Kluyveromyces lactis: one gene and its partners. The protein of the gene in region 3 interacts with the protein of the main gene of each other region in a pairwise test. Links are inferred from orthologs where the notes say so. Each region holds a gene or a part of one and is shown on either strand. Other genes may lie near its edges. The genes, in order: MAM33, GRX5 and KLLA0_F03839g.

What was found.
Region 1: the proteins of KLLA0_F03839g (region 3) and MAM33 interact in a protein complementation assay, tested with the Saccharomyces cerevisiae proteins (2 studies listed by BioGRID). The link is inferred for Kluyveromyces lactis from reciprocal best matches to the Saccharomyces cerevisiae genes SLM1 and MAM33.
Region 2: the proteins of KLLA0_F03839g (region 3) and GRX5 interact in a two-hybrid assay, tested with the Saccharomyces cerevisiae proteins (2 studies listed by BioGRID). The link is inferred for Kluyveromyces lactis from reciprocal best matches to the Saccharomyces cerevisiae genes SLM1 and GRX5.

Annotation. Positions count from the first base shown.
Region 1 is NC_006039.1:671,305-677,834, reverse strand, and holds MAM33 (Mam33p), read left to right. Parts: upstream 1-2,909; coding exon 2,910-3,689; downstream 3,690-6,530. Other genes in the region: tyrosine protein phosphatase PTP3, read right to left, coding at 1-1,120; MRX1 (Mrx1p), read right to left, coding at 4,059-6,212; PCI8 (Pci8p), read left to right, coding at 6,341-6,530. UniProt on the Saccharomyces cerevisiae protein: Not known. Binds to the sorting sequence of cytochrome b2.
Region 2 is NC_006038.1:832,925-839,426, reverse strand, and holds GRX5 (monothiol glutaredoxin GRX5), read right to left. Parts: upstream 3,163-6,502; coding exon 2,734-3,162; downstream 1-2,733. Other genes in the region: KLLA0_B09658g (pyridoxine 4-dehydrogenase), read left to right, coding at 526-1,554; glucose-induced degradation complex subunit VID24, read right to left, coding at 4,012-5,013; SND3 (Snd3p), read left to right, coding at 6,272-6,502. UniProt on the Saccharomyces cerevisiae protein: Monothiol glutaredoxin involved in mitochondrial iron-sulfur (Fe/S) cluster transfer. Receives 2Fe/2S clusters from scaffold protein ISU1 and mediates their transfer to apoproteins, to the 4Fe/FS cluster biosynthesis machinery, or export from mitochondrion.
Region 3 is NC_006042.1:361,206-369,049, reverse strand, and holds KLLA0_F03839g (SLM1 family PH domain-containing protein), read left to right. Parts: upstream 1-3,126; coding exon 3,127-5,073; downstream 5,074-7,844. Other genes in the region: LAP2 (bifunctional aminopeptidase/epoxide hydrolase), read right to left, coding at 1-775; KLLA0_F03861g (uncharacterized protein), read right to left, coding at 1,523-1,933; alpha-1,2-mannosyltransferase ALG11, read right to left, coding at 5,245-6,957; MOB1 (Mob1p), read right to left, coding at 7,313-7,844. UniProt on the Saccharomyces cerevisiae protein: Together with SLM2, acts as an effector of the TORC2- and calcineurin-signaling pathways. Phosphorylated and activated by TORC2 under favorable growth conditions. Mediates actin polarization via inhibition of calcineurin-dependent transcription.

The DNA of each region.
Region 1 (6,530 bases), on a different chromosome or scaffold from region 3:
ATGTGGATATTGGGGAACCAGATAGAGTCCTACTGTTACCGGTTTGTGGTGGCTGTTTCAAAGGAGAACAAGAATGCGAATGAGATCTACCAGAGTGTTTCAACTGCGGTTGAACTGGAGAAATATTGTCTGCCTGATGAGGGGAAGATGGGGAATCTAAGGTATAAGAGTCTTCCAAATCCATGGTACCAACTTCGACGTCATCAGGATATGCTGCATTAAATGATTCAAAACCTTCTGCGAGAATGAAAACAGAAGGCTTTTGTTTGTCACTTACATGATCGAGGATCTTAGAAGATATTCCGAAACATGCCAATGATACTGCATAATCTGTCTGGTTTGCCACATTATCGTAAATAACCACCTTGGCATTTGCAGTGGCGCTGTCACTGCCCAATAAATATTCCGATAAAGTTTCCCTTCCTGGGGAAGGTAGATTACCTATCAACCTTTCCAGATTGAAGTTTTTCCTTTTCAGTAAAGTCGAGGGAAGACACAAGTGCATTGCCGATCTGATGTGATTTTTGTTGAACTCTATGAACGGCCTTGTATCGAATATTATCAGTTTTTCATTGGGATTCTGGTCCATATTTTCAATATAATGGTGCAAGTCCGCAGGGCTAATAAACGAGCAGTCTTTATGTTTAGGAAATCGGAGATCTTTTGGACATATTGTTGGAATAGCGGGCAAGCTATTGGACTTCATTGCTATGCTCCGCGATCTACTCCGTGAAAACGAAAGGGAACTTCTATGAGATGCTGACAACGGTGAAGGTGTACATGTACTATACGAAGGTTCAGATGCTGAAGGGAAAGTCGACGCATGTATCAGAATCTTTTCGGGCAGTACCTCCGTTGAATTTCTTTTGTAATTTGCGCTCAGGGCAGGAGATGCTAACGATGAATTCGACGATTTATCATCGATCAAAGTGGATGACGAACTTAGAACTGATGAACTTTCCGATGTGAATGAGCTGCTCTGAATTGAATCACGATCTTTATACTCTGTACATCCAGATATCGATGGTGGTCTAGCGAGAGGCCTTGAAAACGAAAGAGGTTCTTTGAGTTGGATTTCTTCCTGTTGTTTGTTGGTGCCCATCGTGTCTATATACTCCATTTCTCTTCGAAATTATAAATAGATTAGATTTGACACCCTATTACTAACAAAGTACTTTCTTTCTGTATGCTTAATTTGACAGTTTTGTCTTGGTATAGGTTCTTATTTGGTGTCTTCGTTAAAGCAGTGATTCGAACAAAGTTAAAAGATAGCTGAAGATGTTGGAAGCTGTTCTATTTGGTTCAATAATGCACTAGACCTAGAAATTACGAATTAGAAAACACTTGACCGAAAAGAAAAGAAATTCTAAAAAAGATATTGAGAAGAGGATTGCATAAGGATACACAGATGCATGCATTCGAGAAACATATCCAATGGAAAAAAAAACAACAACAACAACAATTAGCACGCACATCCACGTGATATACGGTCGAATTACATAAATGCATATGTGATATAGTAATGCCCACTTCGTTGGTTGAACCAGACACCTTGCTACTTAATTAGATTACTTTTCATCTGTAGGAAATTACCTGAAAAGACACCTTATGTAGGCAGAAAGGTACTGAAAACAAAGGACTCAGAAAAATATGCGATAAATCTTCTAAACTATTTACACCCTCATGCCGATTGCAATTTTACCAAGCAATACTCATCTCTTGTTGAATAAGAACCGCAAATTGTCAAGACATGTTACAAGGATATCACGGATGAAGAAGCAGTTTCTATGGTTAATTACGACACTCTGTTGCTTTGTGAAATGTATGAACAAAAAAAAAGACACAAATCTAGAAATCAACAGTAGAGCCGAAAGAACGGTATAATAAGGACCGAAAAATATGCTAATAGTCAAAAGATCTAGATCCCCTGGGTACTAGTCTGAGAGTATGTTCTTGGACTTGTACTCTTCAACTTGTGAAAAGTAGTTTAATAGAAGAATTGCAGATGGCTGCATAACACACCACAGCAAAATCCTGGGAATAAATTTCAATCATGAGCATAATCATAGATGGGGCTCTTTTGCGCAGTAAATTACGTCGTTACAATTATTTGCAACTGGCTTTTTTTTCTTTCTTAGAACTGACAATGAATGTTGTCCTCCGTGCTCTTGCAAAAACGAACACGAATTTTCTCGGGAAAACCAAGGCGTTGATCATTGTTCCGGTTCGAGACTACGGTCGAAACGGACATTACCTCTCTGCCCTAAACACACTCTGATCAGTAAACGTTCATTTGTCAAATAGTAATGCGAGAGTTACCATGGGACTAAGGCTCGAAAAATTTCGTACTTTTGATCCAGAATGTTAGCACGGAAAGCAGTGACCAAAACGGTTCGAAAGTTCGCTTCCCTCACAAAAGAAAAGAATTTTCAATAGAAATGGACTCGGGTCTCGAACATCTTTCTGCAAGCTGAAACGAAGAAATTAACGTAGTGAAATAACTCGGAAACTAAAGGCTACCACTACTCACAAAACGAAAAGCGAAAATTACGTACGCCTAGAAGTCAACGCACTGTATCTGTACCAGGGTCCGCCCTTAGAACTGTTCGAGCAATTTGTACCCGGATGGCGTCTTTACCTCTTTTATTGGCTTGTTTACACTTTACTCATTCACGTGACGCTGAACGTGCGGGTAAATATGAAAAGGGCATCCACCTCATTACCCTGATATACTTTCTTTTTGCCACACTCTAGGATCGAGAGCTGAAAGGAAAAAGAATTCTGGAAAGATTATAAGCTCTTATATTGAACTGTGATATTTCAAGCGATGAGCTAGCTTATTTGATCCAAATTTAAGGGTTAAAACAAACCAGTCCTATAGGATAAGCCCCCTCCCCTGATAGAATACTATGTCCCTACGTTTGATTACCCGTGTTGCCTCCCGTGTTGCTGCTCGTCCAGCTTCCATCCAGGTGGCCAGAAATGTGATTGCTCGTCCAACCTTTATCACATCTTCCCGTCAACTCTCCTATACTGCTACCACTTTCAACCAACATACTACGAAGGTTGCTCAAGTTTTAAACAGCGAAGTCGAATTAGAAACTTCTCAACAAATTGTCGACTTGCCAGAAGAATTGGCTACTTTCCTGTCCAAGTACGGTTTTGAGCCTGTCGTTCAAGAAGGCCGTAACTTGGCTCACATTAGAAGACAATTGAACGATGAAACTATCAATGTCTTCTTTGACGTTGCTCAAGTTGCTAACTTGCCTGTCGAACCAGCTGCTTTAGAACAATCTGAAGAACAATTGGAGGAAGATTTCGATAGTATGTCTGATAACTTTGCCAATGTCAACATTGTCGTTGTGAAGAACTCCGACAACACAGCAATTTCATTTGAGCTTTTGATGAACATGCAAGAAGGTTCTTTCTACGTCGATTCCGTTACCCCATACGAATCAGCAGAAGATGCTTTGAATGAATCAGCAGAAGCCGAAATCAAGAGAGAATTGGGATACCACGGTCCTCCATTCTCTAACTTGGATGAATCTTTGCAAGAGTCCTTGGAATCTTACTTGGAATCCAGAGGTATCACCACCGATTTAACTTCATTCATTTCTAATTACTCTGAGTTCAAGGAGAATAATGAATACATTCAATGGTTGTCGAAAATGAAGAAGTTCTTCGAGTAATTGCAACAATAACTCTTTTTCAATATGACTAAAGACAGAAGTATTTGTTCATTCAAAAACAATTCTGCCTCTTGGTGGTTTTACTTCACTACTGATCACTGAGCTTTATGATCCCTCTATCAACATTTCTCTTGTATATACATAATTTTTCTCTTACCTTTTTTATTATGGATTTTTAAGGCAAATTTGTACATTATATATCGCTCTATGTAATATCTGTTATAATGTACCTATCGTCTTTTCCATTGGTACCTTTGATTATTACACCGTTTGCAATAGTTTAATTATTGAAATGCAGAGCCAGCAAAAGACAAGCCTCCAAGTGAGATGCCTTTTTCATTGGTTTAGTATGTACAGGAGGCATCTCAATTATGTTGGTGAAAAGTCATCAATGTTGGTGTCCAATATTGTTTCACAATATTGTCTAAACAATTTTTCGATTTCGGGGCTGTTAGAATCCCTATCATGTTCTAGGTTATCCACAACCTCTAGGATTCTCTTTCTTAATCTTATTAGATGCCTACGAAACAAAAATTTTCTTTTAAGTAAAGAATTTGAATCTTCCGCTTCAGCTTGCACTTCCTTTAGTTCTTCATCGGTTAAATTCAAAGATGATTCCAATGATTTTATAAAACGTACAGCTTCAAGATAAACAAAACGCATACTCTCTCGAGTGCTTCCTCTCTGCTTCAACAACATTACTGGATCACAGAGCATTGTGGTAATGAACTCGTCTATTATCGTTTTCTTGAAAGTCAAAGGTAACGCGTCTTTGCATGACATAACAATTCTCAATAAGAACATCCATGGTTTCCAGGATAAATAGCTCTTGTACTCATCATTTTGAATCGAAGTCTTTGCTTCATTGTCCTTCATAAGTGCAAGACATGATTTTACAAGTTCTGTCGCCTTTACAGGATCACTGTTGTTTAGCTTTTTAGTAGCCTGTCTTTCAAATGCTTTATAAGTTAAAACGACGTGCTGTAAGGGTTCCCGCAACATACCATCATCCATCATCTTACGAAGTAGCTCATAACATCTCTCTCCACAGTTCTCCGGATCTGCTTTGATAATTAAGTTCAACGCAGCGTTTATTGTTCTGTTGTTGAAAAGGTTTGGTCTTTTTCCCAGGTAATGCTCGAAGAAAGCGATACCATATTCGTATTGTCCGGTCTTAAAGCAATTTTCCATTAAAAGATGTGCAACATGGGGAGTCAAACGCATTTTAGATTTGATATTCCAATTCTTCAAAGCAGGCAACTTGACAAATTCTGGTATTTCTTTCTTGAAACGAACATTTGGGACCTTAAAATCATAGAATATATCAAGCAGAGGCAACACACAATTGGAAAATCGTAGATCCCTTCTAGAGTGCCAAACGTTCAAATAATGAAAAAACATTTGTGAATCGATAACTTTGGGGTCAGCAGAGTTCATTATATCATCAGCCCTTTGAATGGCTTCCACTGCATCTGTAATCTTCGCACATCCAATAAGTAGTTGCGTGTACGCAATTGCATCTTTTTTTATACCTTTGGGTCTCAAATCAAAACATTTGAACAGGTAACTAGGGTCGTTAGAGTTCGCCAACGCACTTAATGCAGCGTTAAAATTTATATTATTGAGTCTTTCATCTTCAACCAATTTTAAAACTATCTTCACCACTCGTTCTGCAACTTTGACAGAAATTGGTTCTGGCAACCTTGCCAACCCTTTGAACAAATTTGTTTCAGTGTATTCATTGGGAGGTATTTGCCACTTCTTTCTCCAAGAATATAAATCCACAGCGGAATGGCTATCTTTTTCAACTTCTAGATAATGTGTCATTAATGTGTTCATTCCAGCTGCACCATTTGGTCCAGCAAGCTTTATAAGAAATAAAGCCTTTTGCAACTGGCCTCTCTTACAAAATTTCGCAACATCGCGTTCCACCAATATTGAATTTTTTAGTTGAGGTCTAGATATACCTAGTATAGTATACATTAATCTTTTATCGTTAGCGACAGAAAGAATGCTCGTATCATCGTCCGAAGTTGGTCCTACTTTGATAGACTTATCAAGATTAGTAATTTTGTGTCTCCCTTTTAAGATTTCATTCGCTTTCTTAATGGAATATCCGTACTTCCGAGCTTTGCGTGCTTCCCTTCGAGCGATATCCCTCTGCTTTCCATTTTCCTTCTCTGTTCGCTTCACAAGTGTCTGTGTCTTCTGCAGAAGGTCCAACTTAACCTTCAACGGTGAGCCGTAAGGTACCCGCGTAGCATGAAATGCCCTAACAAAGCGCTGCGCACATGGCACATGTATAACTGTTCGACCTATCGACATACAGATTCTGATGCTTGCTGACTGACTATCCTGTCTAAACTGCTCTTGAGGTGTCTGCGATGAGGTTGTACTCAAAGATTCGACCGTGATTAATATTTTTCCTACTACAGAATCATATTGGAAAAATTGACATAATATGCAAAACAGCCATATCTGAACGAGAACAAGAAACAGTGTAAGCTGCATCACACGAGACATAATTAAAAAGACCAACAAGGTGAGTAGTACTAGAATAACATCAAAGCCTCTGAAAAAGAGTTAGCATTGTTTGCGATTGCATTTTTTACATGTTTTGGGGCTGTTTTTGATAGAATATTGCATTATATATGACACAAGGTAGGCTATTTTATCCGTTGGCAGTGCTTCAAGATCGTCATTTCAGATCCAAATATCCAAATTACAATGAAAGTAGAGAGCTCAAAACCTGGAGTGTTGTTTCAAAGCGATTTCCTGCCTGGGAACAAAAACTAGTATCTATGCTACTTGATAATAAATACGCTGAATCCATAATATTTA
Region 2 (6,502 bases), on a different chromosome or scaffold from region 3:
GAAGTTCTGAGATTTACGTAATCCATTTGAATAAGTCAATATAGTAGAGGTGCATTAAATCACTCTGGTATATGCTGTATATCAGCCGGAGTAATTCTCCAGTTGGAGGCACCCTCTACATTACAAGCTTTATCAAGCCTAATGTTGATTTTCGCTACTACTTAGATTGCCATGGTTTTTTTTGAACGTCAATGCAAATTAGTAATGCTCTTTTCAGGCATTGTACTAAACCTTCTCAGCAAGACCCACAAGTTGGCAACTGATATTGATTAAGTGGGTGATATTTCTTATATGAATAATGTTTTTTATATGTGTGTTAATGGTACGCTCCAACGTATATAAATGCGGCATTTTACATATTTCATCTCCATTCCCCTAAATTTCATCTCATCTTAATTAAAAGCTTCCTATTTCTTTCAATTAAAGGTTTAAACAGTAAGGAATATCAATAGTTAGTGTTCAGTGTAGCATTGCAGTCAATTGATTATCCACCAAAGTTTTTAGTACATCGAATAATAGAAAAGCATGCCATCTCCAAGCGACTACCGTTCTCAATTGCTTAATAACGTAGCCCTAGGATATGGTTTGATGAGTTTCACCTGGAGAGCAGAACCTATTGCCCCAGAAGCTGCGTCCAAAACCTTCAAGAAAGTTCTTGAATTTACTGGTGATAAAAAGGCGTTGTTCAATGTTGGTGAATTCTACGGTGAACCTTTGAGCAACTACAAGTTGTTGCAATCCTACTTTGACAAGTATCCGGAAGATCGTGAAAAGGTAATTATCAGTGCTAAAGGTGCTGTTGACTTGCAAACCTTGAGCCCAGCCGGTGATGCTAAGAGTGTTAGCGCATCTATCGAAAACACTCTTAAAGTGTTCAATGGGTATGTGGACATCTATGAGCCAGCAAGATTGGACCTTGAACTTATAAAGAAGACTGGTGAATCGGTTTTCCCTCGTGAAACATTTGACACCATCGTTGAATACGTCAAGAAGGGTAAAATTGGTGGTATTTCATTGAGTGAAGTAACCGCTGAACAAATCAGAGCCATTCACAAGGAGTATGGTGAATATTTAGTCTGTGTTGAAGTCGAATTGTCCATGTTTTCTGCTGAAATTCTCTCGAACGGTATTGTCGACACTTGTAACGAACTAGGGTTGCCAATTGTTGCCTACTCTCCATTGGGTAGAGGTTTGCTAACTGGTGCTTTGGCCAAGAGCTCTGATATCCCAGCAGGTGATTTCAGAATTCAATTGAAGAGATTCCAAGATGACGCGTTCGCTCACAACAAGTCTTTAGTCGAATTTTTAGAGAACGAAATTATCGCTAAAAGATCTGATAACGTCACTTTACCACAAGTAGCAATCGGATGGATCCGGGCTATCAGTAAGAACTATCCAAATACTAAAATTATTCCTATTCCCTCAGGAACAACTGTGGACAAGGTAACCTCTAATTATAGTTTCATAGAATTATCTGACGAGGAACTAGCAAAGATTGACAAATTTTTACAATCTTTCAAAACTGTCGGTGGAAGATACGAGATGATTCGTTAGATATTATGTTAATGATTCCATGATTTTACGAACTTGTCAATATGTCACGTACCAGTGTAGCTGAATATATCCAAACAAATATAAAAAAAATGTTATCATATTCTAAGAAAGCAGGTATGCCAATGATATCGCCATGACATAGGATCAGCAACCAACTATAGAGCGTTCTATTTTATTTCAGTTTCTGTCATATGTTTCTGTCATTTCCACTGACACTGAAATAATACTAGTAGAAAAGAATGGAAAAATTATTAAAATAGGTAAAAAAATTCAAAGTTAACAATACTTCTTTCACATTTACTTTAATCATTTGAAGTATTGAAGTCTGGTAAAATTGGTATCAATTTGGTCTTATGGCCCAAGATAACAACTGATGTTCATCTCTGACTATCATACTGGCTTCTGGTGAGTTATCTATACACTATCTCCTTGAAGTTACGATAATGAACATAGATCAAAAGTATAAAATTACCACATAAGTCTCAATGGATCATTATTCCGTTTTGTCATTATGGTAATGGTCTATCAGAGTTGGTAAACAGAGCATTTTTCTCATTGTGTTTTAGTATATAGCCAGAGGAAGTGTACGTTATGAGATGGGATGCTACTACGAAGGCAGTCTTGCTCAGTTTTTCAAGGCTGAGAAGCTCGAAGTTAGACTGTTCATGTGATCAGTAAAAAGATCATAAAAAAGGACCCAGCTCAGCAGCGAGACTTCTATGAACGATACTTTTTCTCTAGGTTCTACCGAACCATCGTCTTTCTTTATTTGAGTGATTTCACGTAAACGGGAACTTGTCGTGCCTGATGTGCATTTTTCTTTATGTCCATCACTGGCGGTGCAGTAATGTGTTCGACTGGATTGTTTAAGTACTTCCGACTGAGGGCGTTACATGCATTAGACATTTTCTTTGAAAACGTTTACGATTTTTCAATGTGAATTCACTTTCACACAAGACGAAGAACAAACTTGCACGAATTTGGTGACAGAAATTTACAACTGCCACCAAATTTTAAGATCTTAACTTCAAAAGAGCGGAGTTTGTGAATACAGTGTCCATTATTCACAAGTCTAAAGGCATAAGATCATATTTCCTCATAAAATCAATTATAAATATTGCAGCTTGTTATAGACATACATAGTTTTTTGCAGCCAGAGTTGCGCCGAGTGAAATGTACTTAATCTTCTTCTTCTGGGACCAAAGCATCGGACTCTTCCAACAGTTTAGCTAATTCACCCGTTTGAGCCATGTTCATCACAATGTCACATCCACCGACAAATTCCTTGTTAACGTATAGTTGTGGGATGGTTGGCCATTCGGAGATTTCCTTGATACCTTCACGTAACTCAGGGTCTTCAAGTACATTGTAAGCAGCAAACTTCACTGGATCGACACCTTGTTGACCTAACATATTGATTGTAGCTCTAGAGAATCCACATTGTGGGAATTCTGGAGTGCCCTTCATGAATAAAACCACCGGTGCTGATTCAATAGCATCTTCAATAGCTTTCTTTGTCTCTTGTGATATGAATCTTTGGAAACTTAGATGTGATCTGAAAGCAGGACGTAGGAGCGGACTCTTAGTGGCCAAAAATCTTGAGAACATTGTTGGTATTGGAAAACCTGAGCGAAGCGATTTTAACTGTGAGGCTAGTTTACTGGGCTTGAAAAAATATCAATCAAACGTTGGAAGGAGTATCGCAGTTCAGTATTTCAGTATTTCTTTATATGTTGGTTAGAAGTGAAATATCGAATTATAAAGTTTCCGAAATGTTTAAGCCGAGTGACTAAGAGGATAGAGGGCAAAAAACTGAAAGACGAGTTGAGAAGACAGTACAAAACTATGAATTCAGTGAATGGAGTGGGTAACCTTGAATTACTTTGGCATCAAAGAAGAATCGTTAGATATTCAGAATGTTTGGAGGCCAAGTTTAAGGTGAATAAAGACTGTGATGAGTAAGCAGCACGTGACATGGTTCTTTGCAATGGTTCACAAATCCCGATATGAACTGAAAGTAAAACATTTGTGCAAGAAACCAGCTCGTATGGCGCAGTGGTAGCGCAGCAGATTGCAAATCTGTTGGTCCTTAGTTCGATCCTGAGTGCGAGCTGTTATTTTTTTGCCCCTTCTTCATCCTCATCGAGGGCCTCTTTTTTTTTTTTCATGACGTTCGGTTTCTAGGAGAAACAAATCGAGCAGTAAATTGTAACGATGTATATCCCATTATTTATATGACATTAGAGACGTGATTAGGTAGAAATGAAAAGTGAAAGCGTAAATTGGTATTAGAATATTAACTGAATTAATGTAATGTGGTGTAGAAGTAAACTTGAACTGAAATTTGAAGTAAATGAGTGGAGCAAGGAACTTGGTAAATTAGAAGAGACAGAAAAAAAGAATGAAAATAAAACACCCCATGAAAGATGTGGTTTTATTTATTTTAATGTCATTTAATTATGCAAATTCGAATGAACAATCTCCGATTGATGGTTCTTGTAAAGGTTGCAATTCTAACTGTTGAAATCTTTCAGCATGTTCATGGTAGTAGAACCCCAGAATGTTACCAAGTAATTGATCGTGTACTATGTAGTAGTAGCCGTCGTAAGATGCACCATCTATTGATTCCAAATCGGCATCAGGCACCAGGAATTTCTCATTCCACCTCATGTAAAGGAACCTTTGATTCAAGTAATCGGTATGTGAGTAAGTACCATCGATGATAGATTGTAGAATATTCTTAGAAGGATACTTTGGATCGTTTTGCATGCAAAGTTCTTTGAAAGATGGGAAATTCAACCAATGCTCCAAATCAGTCTGGTCCGAGGCCTTATAGGACGCATAATCTATTGGGATATCTTTGGATAGAAACCCTAGAGAATCCGTTACGGTGATGGATTCGAAGAAAGTGGTGATCTCGGGATTTTGTACCGTGAGACCCTTTATAGAGAGGAATCCAGTCAAATGAGGCGAGCAACAGTTGGATTCGTTATCATTTGGTAAAGAAACAGATTGGATAGTGATCATGACTTGGAACTTCTTGTATCCCGAGAGTTGGTACCCAACAAACCGTTTTCTAGCCCCTAGCCAATGAGTTCTTTCGTGGTTCTTGGGAGTCTGAGGTCTCGATCTAGGAGGCGAGTTCAAAGATGGTGAGCATGAGTCCTGGATATCGTAATCCTCCGAATCTTGAAAGTTTTCATGCGAACGCCGTATCGAATTGATAGAATCGTGAGACCCAGTTCTGTGCAGCGAAGTGTTCCTGAAATATGGGTTTCTATGGAAAAAAGGAGTCAAAGGCGCAGGGAATGCTATAGGTGATTGCTGTTTTTGCTGTTGCTGTTGCTGTTGCTGTTGTTCCTGGGTCTGACCCTGACCCTTATATGGAGACGAGCTACTCGCCTTGGCGAGTTGCGTCTCCAACCCAGAGCTATGCGAACGTGTATCTTCGTTGATCATCTGTAAAATGTATGAATGTATCTTGCCTTACAACTTGTAAGTTGTAACTAGTTTTCTAAAGCAAGTAACTAACTCACTTGACAAAGGCAATCTGCGATGAAGCAGCGAACAGATTAATACGTCCAACAATAACCACTCGGTATATATACATATATATAGTAATAATAATAATAATAACTATCTCAATCAAGAAGGTAATATAAAAAGCATCACCAGGCCACCTTTAAAAAGCGAAGACCAGATCGACATCGATAAAGAAATAAGAAAAAGAGATAAAAGGAAAAGAAATAAAACACGGCAAAGAAACCGACAATGAAACACGCGGAAGAGGAAGATTTCCAGTTCCAACCATGACTCTATCCTATCAACTGGACTGGGAAAAACCAATGAACAAGGCAGAGACAGAAGTAAAATGGCTGCATAGGTGAAAGGAGTGACACATAATGGAAAAAAGTAAAAAGAGAGTAAATGTGTTCAGGAGTGAATTATGATCGAGGTGCGAGTCTGGTGTTGAAGGAAAAGAAACGGGGGGAAATATCGAAGAGACTGTGCACCGGTTTCTGGGCAAAATACCCGGAAAAACCTTTCGTTTTGGATTTTCTTTTTTTCCGGCACCAAGTTGGAACAGAGAGGTACCCAACGAAATGGCGGAGGAAGAATCAAAGAAGGACCAAAGTTCACAAAAAGAAATACGAGAGAATGTTGCTACAGGGGAAAGGAACATTCACAGACATAGCCCGATCCGGTTTGTTCCGAGGTGCGGGTAACAACTTAGCGCAGCTAACTCTTTCTTTCTCTACGCTCGGTGTATGCTGTCAAAAAAGTGTGGCTCTTCTAGTCACGTGATTACTGTTATAACGCGCCCGCTTATGTTACCCGGATATATGTATATTTGCTATATTTGTATTTTCGCCACCGTTCAACGTTATTCCGGGTAACACAATGGGTATCTCTCTCATCGTCAAAAGATTTTCTCGTCACTTCTTCCACATTCAGACTGGAATTTAAAATAAAATCTGTATACCATCTTTTCACATACGTATCTATTAAATGATGCACTACTACTTGTTGCACGTATTATCGGAACTACTCTTTTTCAACTTTATATACTTACTGATTTATGTATGCCTTTTCTAATAATTAGTTAGTTAGTTGTCCTTTGTCCACTGGAATCTGCCGTCGATAAGCAATTCATAGTTAGAAGAGAAGTGCTCTTTCTTACCAAGCCAATCCCAGCTGTAACTCTCTAACCACCACCATGAATGCTCAAATCAGTAACCTAGTCATCATGTTGATCATGATGCAAGTATCTCGTCGTTTGGATATGGAGGATCCTTCGATCGTGTTGTACATCCGTATCGCTTATGTCGCTTCTGTTGCCATCACTTGGTCCATCTACCAATACGCTAGAGCTCAAATCGTTAAGAAGAACGATTTGGCCACTTTGAAATACGTGGCTCCAGCTAACCCATTGGGTGGTCAAACCGAG
Region 3 (7,844 bases):
CGTAAACTTTGGAACGAGGACCAATATCAGCGCTGGCCAAATCACCTGATGCGATACCGATCAAATATGCTGGAATTGGTACTTCTTGCTTGAAAGAGTAGACCTTAGTAGAATCATCGTAACCTGTTTGGATACCCGAAAACACAACTGGTAATTCAGACTTGATGTTGGCGAGATATGTAGATTTTACACTTGGGGTATCAAAACATGTGAATAGACTTCTCGCATGGATGGCTTCCAATTGAGAGAAAACGTACGGTTTCCCAGATGTTTGGTGTTCATCAAGCCATTGCAATGCTGTACAGTCTGCAGTTGTCGAAAATTGTAAGCACAAATGGAATATTTCCGGCAAAGAAGATGGACTAACAATTAACTGAGCACCCAATGGATGTTTTCTTTCTAACAATTTAAACTTCACGTCGTCTTCATCATCCACTTTGACTTTAGAGATCTTCAAGTAAGAAGTATCCAACTTGATAGTGTTTTCATCCTTCTTCACCTTTTCAATCTCGTAAGAGACAGAACCACTAATGGTTTTCTTTTTGAAATCAACGCTAACATCCAACTGTGAATGCTTTACCTTGAAAGACTTGTAATTGGAAAGTGTAGAATAGTCGAATTCCGGAGATTCTTTGGGACGACGTGATTCAAGAACAGGTGGAAGTGGCATTTTTCTCGATATAGGAGAGGTTTGGAAATATCTAACGTTCGATAAAGCTTTAGCGGGTAAAGATTTACAAGCAGCCGAAGTTTTATTGTAAAAATTGAAAAGCATACACTTGGCAGGGATGAGTTTAACGATGCGCCGAAGATGGAACCGCTTGAAAAATTAGGTAAAAGACACACAATTGACTAAATATTGGTCAACCTCAAAACGATCTCTCCAGTAGTTAGATATTAATGAAAAAAAAAAAAAAACACACACACACAATATTAAAACAAAAAGACAGACAAAGCTCTTGTTAAAGTTTCCACAATATAGGGGTAACAGGGGACAAATTAGAGCCAACTGAATTAGCCAGTACGTGCATGCACTTGTTTTCAAAAGAGAAACTCAAAATGGAAGTACAATATAAGAAAGAACGCCAAGATGAATGAGAAGATAGTATGTATTGTGCAATACCGGAGATTTTTTAACATTCGTTCATATTTCAAGAAGCAAAAGCTCAGATTGACACATTTTTTCATGTACCCTTTGTCAATTCATATTGTGTACCGGGTAATAAGTGTTTTTGACACATAGAGTAACCGCATGGGACAAATAAGATGGAATAAATATAAACATGAAATGTTCTCAGATCAAAGTGAGGAAAATTGTCACCACGAGTCTGTGTCAGTTGTATGTTCTTTCATTAAGCTGTATTAAGCGGCTTTAGGATGGAAACAATGACGTTCATTTGTAAGCATTTTCGCACTATAATGCCTTTTATTAAATATGATACTACAGTATGATTCATGGTGCTTAACATGAGACACTGTAACTACTGAGAGAACATCGATTAATGCGATCTATTATATGAAGCTATACGAACTTCTCAAGTATATGTAAAACTATCCAGTTCCATTTCGAGTACCAATCCCAGCCCATTCCGAAAAGGTTCGCGTAGAAATAATATTTGACCATTTCCTGAAACATATTAATCAGCCGGGCAAGTATCAGATGCAGTAGCGTCACTATACAGATAACGAATATGACACATGGCATGAATCTCTCTGAATATATGAACCTCTCTAATTTATTCAAATCAGACCCTACAAATTTTGCTTGTTTGTTCCTTGTGCCTCTGTTACGCAGACGTGCAGTTTTGCTCCTTGAAAACAATCTAGATATCGATGATGTTTTCAAACGTCGCAGCTTAATATTGCCCGCGTTCGTCTTTTGTATCCCATCATACGTATACACCATGGACGCATCTTTGGTGAAATACTGCATTGAGAGATACTCCCACAGTAGCTTTCCAGAGCTATTTTTCTTGAATAATGTTGGAACAGTAACGTTCTGCTCTTGAATTTAAATGATTCGCCGGGGGTACAGTAAAGACTTTGGATATCAGTCCCTTGCCTGCTGATCCGCTGATATGTCAATCACTTGATTCATTACTTTACTCAATTCGAGATTTCAATAGTCATATTGAACGAAACGTAAACAAAATCTGAGAAAGGGAAAACGATATTTCGGTGTCACGTGTCATTAATCGGAAGAGGTAACTGTGTGATCGGAGAAATCGCTCAGAGATCTTGCAGGAACCCCAGTAGCAACAAATACAGTATGCACACAGGTGTTACACACAACACTTCAAAGAGGTGGCTGAAAACATGACAAAGAGCAGAACACAGGTATCCAGTTGAAGAGACGGTTTAGCCGAATAGGACTTCTACTATACCGTCCATTTCGGCCAGTTGATTTCGACGTATGCCACACGTAACAAAAAAAATGCCTATGGATACAAGGAGATTCAGTTGAAGCAGAATATCCTCATCACTCTGTACAGGGCCAAACGTCAATACATGGTAATATATACTACTAAATATCATTCTTCCCACAGATCTATCCTGGACAGTGCCATTGACGTCTTCGTCCTAGCTTTTCACACCCCTTATCTGCAAGCTTTACACCACCAGGATCCACAGCATCCTTTCTCCAACCCCATCCATATGTATTGAACCTTTCTTTATCTCACAGAAGCATCGAATGCAAAAAATGGAAAAAAAAAAAATCATAAGAAAATGCTGTAGTAATCACCAAGTACAGTAATATTTAGAGGAAGTTTTGGGAGCCCAGCTTTAAAAATAACAAAAATTTGAAATTGCAATTAAAATTGAAACTGGGAAGAATTATTTAAGAAATTTTGCAAGGACCTCAAGTTCAGTACAATACTAGGGATTTGTGCTTCCATTTTCCCTTTGTTAAGAAACTGATACGATAGAACGTTAAAGAAAGCGTTTTCTCCTGGCGAGGTATTTTCGGTACTTTGGAGATAATTACGGTTTGAGTAGTTATTAAGGAATAAAGAAGGAGGAGCCCTTTAGCTACAAAAAAAAGAGAAAAGCCGGGCTATCGCAGACTTTATCATCATAATCATCATCATTATAGTTTACTTCTGATTTGTGCTTTCGAGTGATAAGATGTCCAAACAAAACACTATGACTAGCAGTATAGCCGATATGCTTTCGCAAAACCAACACAGTTTGCAGCAATTGCAGCAGCTGCAACAGCAACCATCTAGAAGTTTGACTTCTGCTGATTACAAGAATTTCCAGCAAAGCGGATTGAATGGAACTAGCGCTAACAACAGAGTTTCGGTTGCTGGCCAGACAATTCCTTATCCGACCGATAACATATCTATCGATGTGAACCAACCGCGAGGATCCATGTCAGCGGATGTTGTTGGCGTTCAAGGGAATGCAAATGCAACTGGTCTTGAAGAAGGAATTTCTTTCCCTCAAATGAATTCTTCCAAGAGACAGCAGCAGACGAATTCGTTGACTAGCTCGCATACGCATGTTAGCAGAAACAGGGCTTCATTGCAAAGACATAGGTCCAACGGTCAGGATCCCAGATCTCCTTTGGTGGTATTGATGCCTACTAATGCGAACCCTACAGAAGTTCTCTCTCAGAGATTTGCAGCATGGAGAGGTATTATCAGATCACTTCTTGTATATCTACAAGAAACGGTTTCCATCCAAGATGAAGTTGTAAGACAACATTTGAGATTGCAGCATGCAATTAACTTCCCATTTTTCACCATTGATAGCCAACATCAACCTACCACTCCAGAGGACAAGAACATTCAAAAATTCTTTTTGCCTCTAGGGCACGGATCTATTCAGGATCTACCCACCTTATTTAATCAGTACCATACGCAAATGGTCCATGCAGCATCAAAGGCCTCCAAGGAATTGAGTCAAGATGTGATCCCCAGATTAGAGGATATGAGACGTGATCTATTGGTGAAAATTAAAGAAATTCAATCTTTAGAGTCAGATTTCAAAAATTCATGTAACAAGGAACTTCAGGAAACCAAAATTCGTTTAAAAGCTTTCCAGGAATCGTTGGAAAATTCTAAATACGGATCTGTGAAACAGGATCCTTTCCTAGCGAAGATCCTTTTGGAAAAACAAATCAAGAAACAGTTGACCGAAGAGAATTTCTTGCATGAAGCTTTTAATAATTTACAAACTTCTGGTAGGGAGTTGGAAAAAGTTGTTATGATGGAAATTCAAAACGCTTTGACCAGTTACGCTAAAGTTTTAGGCCAAGAAGCTCAGATAGTGTTTGACGTTTTGATTTCCAAATTGGACACTGGTTTTTTCAATAAAGATCCTGTCTTTGAATGGGAAAACTTTGTCGCTAAGGACCCAAATTTCATCGATCCTAACTTACCAATGAGACGTGTCAAAGACATTGTTTACAAGAACCAAAATGATCCATTCACGTACGAGATTAAATCTGGAATTCTCGAAAGAAGATCCAAATTCTTGAAATCATATTCTCGTGGGTTCTATGTCTTAACTCCAAGTTTCTTGCATGAGTTTAAATCCGGTGATAGGAAGAAAGACTTGATTCCCGTAATATCGTTGTCTTTGAATGACTGTACTGTTGCAGAACATTCCAAGAAAGGATCTTCAGACTTTAAGTTTATATTGCATACAAAACAAAACGGGATTATCCACAGAGGTCATAATTGGGTTTTCAGAACAGATTCTTACGAATCTATGATGGACTGGTTCAACAATATTAAACAGCTAACTTCTACCTCCAATCCTGTGGAAAAAGCTAGATTTGTCACAGAAAAATTGAACTTGGATGGCTCACATAATAAATCGGTATTGACACACTCTACACCACAAGGCAACCAAGCAGCCAGAGCTAGTGTTGACAACAATGACTCGATTCTGGCAACCCCAAGGACAGAAAACGAGATACACGCTTTTTCTGAAACTACAGGTAACACCACTTTGAACAACTCTAATATCGAGCCAATGAACAAAGCATCGCAGTTTTTAACCCCTAAAAATCCTCGTAAATCAGGCCAATATTCATTAGAAAATTCTGCCAAGAATAACGTGTAGTAATCTCGCCAAAATGGCACCATGTCACCTCTCTCTGCTAATACTTCCGAAACAAAATTGTAACAAGTATGATGTCATGTTTTCAAAGCAAGTGCATATACGAACTGATATCGAAACATCTATAGCTTTACTTCATTGTCTAAGTAATGTAACAATTTATATAATTCAAATTCAACTGAACATTCTATTATGAGTCAAATTGAGTTCCTCCAACACCTCGTTCCATGAACGTTCAAACTCTGAATCAGAAAATTTTGATAAAGAGCACATCTTGGCTCTATTTGAGATATCAATTCTTTGTACAGTATTCAATTTCGATACCTGAGCAAATAACGTGCGTAAAGAACTATACTTTGAAGAATCTTTGGCTAGAAAATCCGGATCAGTTTCATCGATGAAGAAAAAGCCGGTTTCATTAGCTTTGTCAGTACTTTGTTCATTCTTCTTTGAATCCCATGGCACTACAATATCATAAAGAGGTCCAGCAGAAGCATGACATAATGGGATCAAACCACTTGCCATATATTCCACGACAGCTATACCAAAATGCTCATTCCACATTGCGTTTATACCAAACCATGAAGAATATAATATACTCTTCATATCATCATATTTACAATCAGTTTTGAAATCCACTAAATGGGTTGGAATTTTAAGTGCCTCAAAGGCATACTTCTTCAGCGTTTCAACATATTCCCTATCCTCTACGTTTCTTGTTGATCCTATAAATATTATTTTAGGAATCAAATCTTTCTTAGTCGTAGCATCGATGAAAGAAGAGAAGGAAGATAATATCAATTCGTGTCTTTTTTCTGGTCTAAACTGCGCAATAACAACCGCTTGATTTAGTCTTTTAACTGGATCTGATTTGTCACAGCCTTCTATCAATGATTCTGTGGAACATGGTGGATAAATAATGTGAATATTTTTTGTTGAGGACCAGATGGATTTAATATGATTATAAGTCCAAGTTGAATTAGTCGATGCAATTTCAACAAATAAGCCTGAAAATTTGTATGCGAGCATGAATATTTTCCAGTAGACATATTTACCGATCAGTTTAAAGTTTGTGTGAAATCCTGGCATAGTTTTTAGCTTTTGTAGCATATCTGTTGAGATGACAGGATAATGGGTATACGTTACAATTGGAATCCTAGCAAACAAAGATACAAAGGGATAAGCAAAAGGATATCCCATTGTATCTATCCAATAATCTGGAGCAAGTGTAGTAAGCGCTTCAATGGACAAAATGATGGAACCATAAGCTTGGCCTAATAGCGTAAATTTCGGCCAACTTTTTGATTCTACCAGTCTTCTCTTCTGTAGGAAAATGAATACTATTCTGTCCGAATCTAGATCGTATTCAAACCTTCTCCGCACACTGTTCAATATATCTGATCCATTAACATCTGTGTCTCCGGTATAGATAACGCATATATTGTTTTTATCCTGATTTAGCGATGTCTCAACGGCTTTCCACAAGACTTTCTCTCCACCACCACCAGCGTTACAGTAAGGATGGAAAAACCCTAAGAGTTTACGCTTTGAATCAAAACCCAACTTATTAACGAATGACTCTCTCTTTATTCTATCATTGTATGCTATATGAACCCTATCGCCATATATTTTGTTTGTATAATCCGATGGCCTTTCAGAAGCTAAAATAAAGGCTCTTCTAACAGAGGAGTTCTTCCAACCAAAATCCAGCACAGGAATCCTGTTCAAATTGTTTGAGCATTTTAGAAGTGAGTTATTAACACGTAACCTTACTTTCGCTGGTAGAGTTACTAGCAAACTTGGTATGAAGGATGACAATACTTTCAATGTAACCAATCCTGCGAGTAAGCTGCCGAACACGTACGTGACAAAATCAGCCAGCTTCATTGTTTGTATATCAATTGAAAAGTAGCCCAGGACACGCGGCTGACTTGTTTAACTCGTAACTAACGTTCGCTAATATATTTATATCAGGACATTAAGGCAAGATTTTCATATATTGTACCTCATCTTTTATGTGTAAAATAAGATTGTTCACAATCTGAGTTTCCTTATCGTTGAAACTGAACCGGAGTTATCCGCATAGACACGACAGATCTTAAAATAAGAGAGACTATAAAAAGGAAGGCGGGTGATGCTTATACAAAATATGTATATGTTACCTACGAATGTGGATTTGATGAACCATCATTTCAAGTGCTATTTTCATTTGATTTTGAACGGTTTAAATGGGAATTCGTTCTCACCTATCTTTAAATTCAATTACAAGTTCAAGCAAAGGCCCATAGTCGTTAGTCTTTAAGATGTGGAATTCTTCTGAGAACAGACAGACATGTCTGAAACTTGTATTGAGAACTGTTTGTAGATTGAGTTCTAAAATTTCGTTGAAATGATGACAGTAGATATGGGCGTAAACTCTAAATAGCCTTTTCAAGATAGGTCTTGCGATAGAGTCTTTGAAATCTTTTGGGAATGGGGCACCTGGTTTGCTTGGGAAATATGATTCATCATCAAACTGCTGTTGACACCATCTGATAAGATAATCGACGTATTTAGGTGCCGGTAACGATATAGGAGGTTTCCCAGGATGGACGTTCCATAGGTATTCGTATTCGTTAGTGGCTATCATTCTTGGACATGTTTGTGGGGAACAAAATTCCGTGATGGACCCATATAACATATTGATTTGGTTGTAGAAATCGACACAGTGTACAGCAATCCATTCGTCGATATTTTCGCCCTTAGGTAATTTAACAGCCTGGTTTAAAACACCT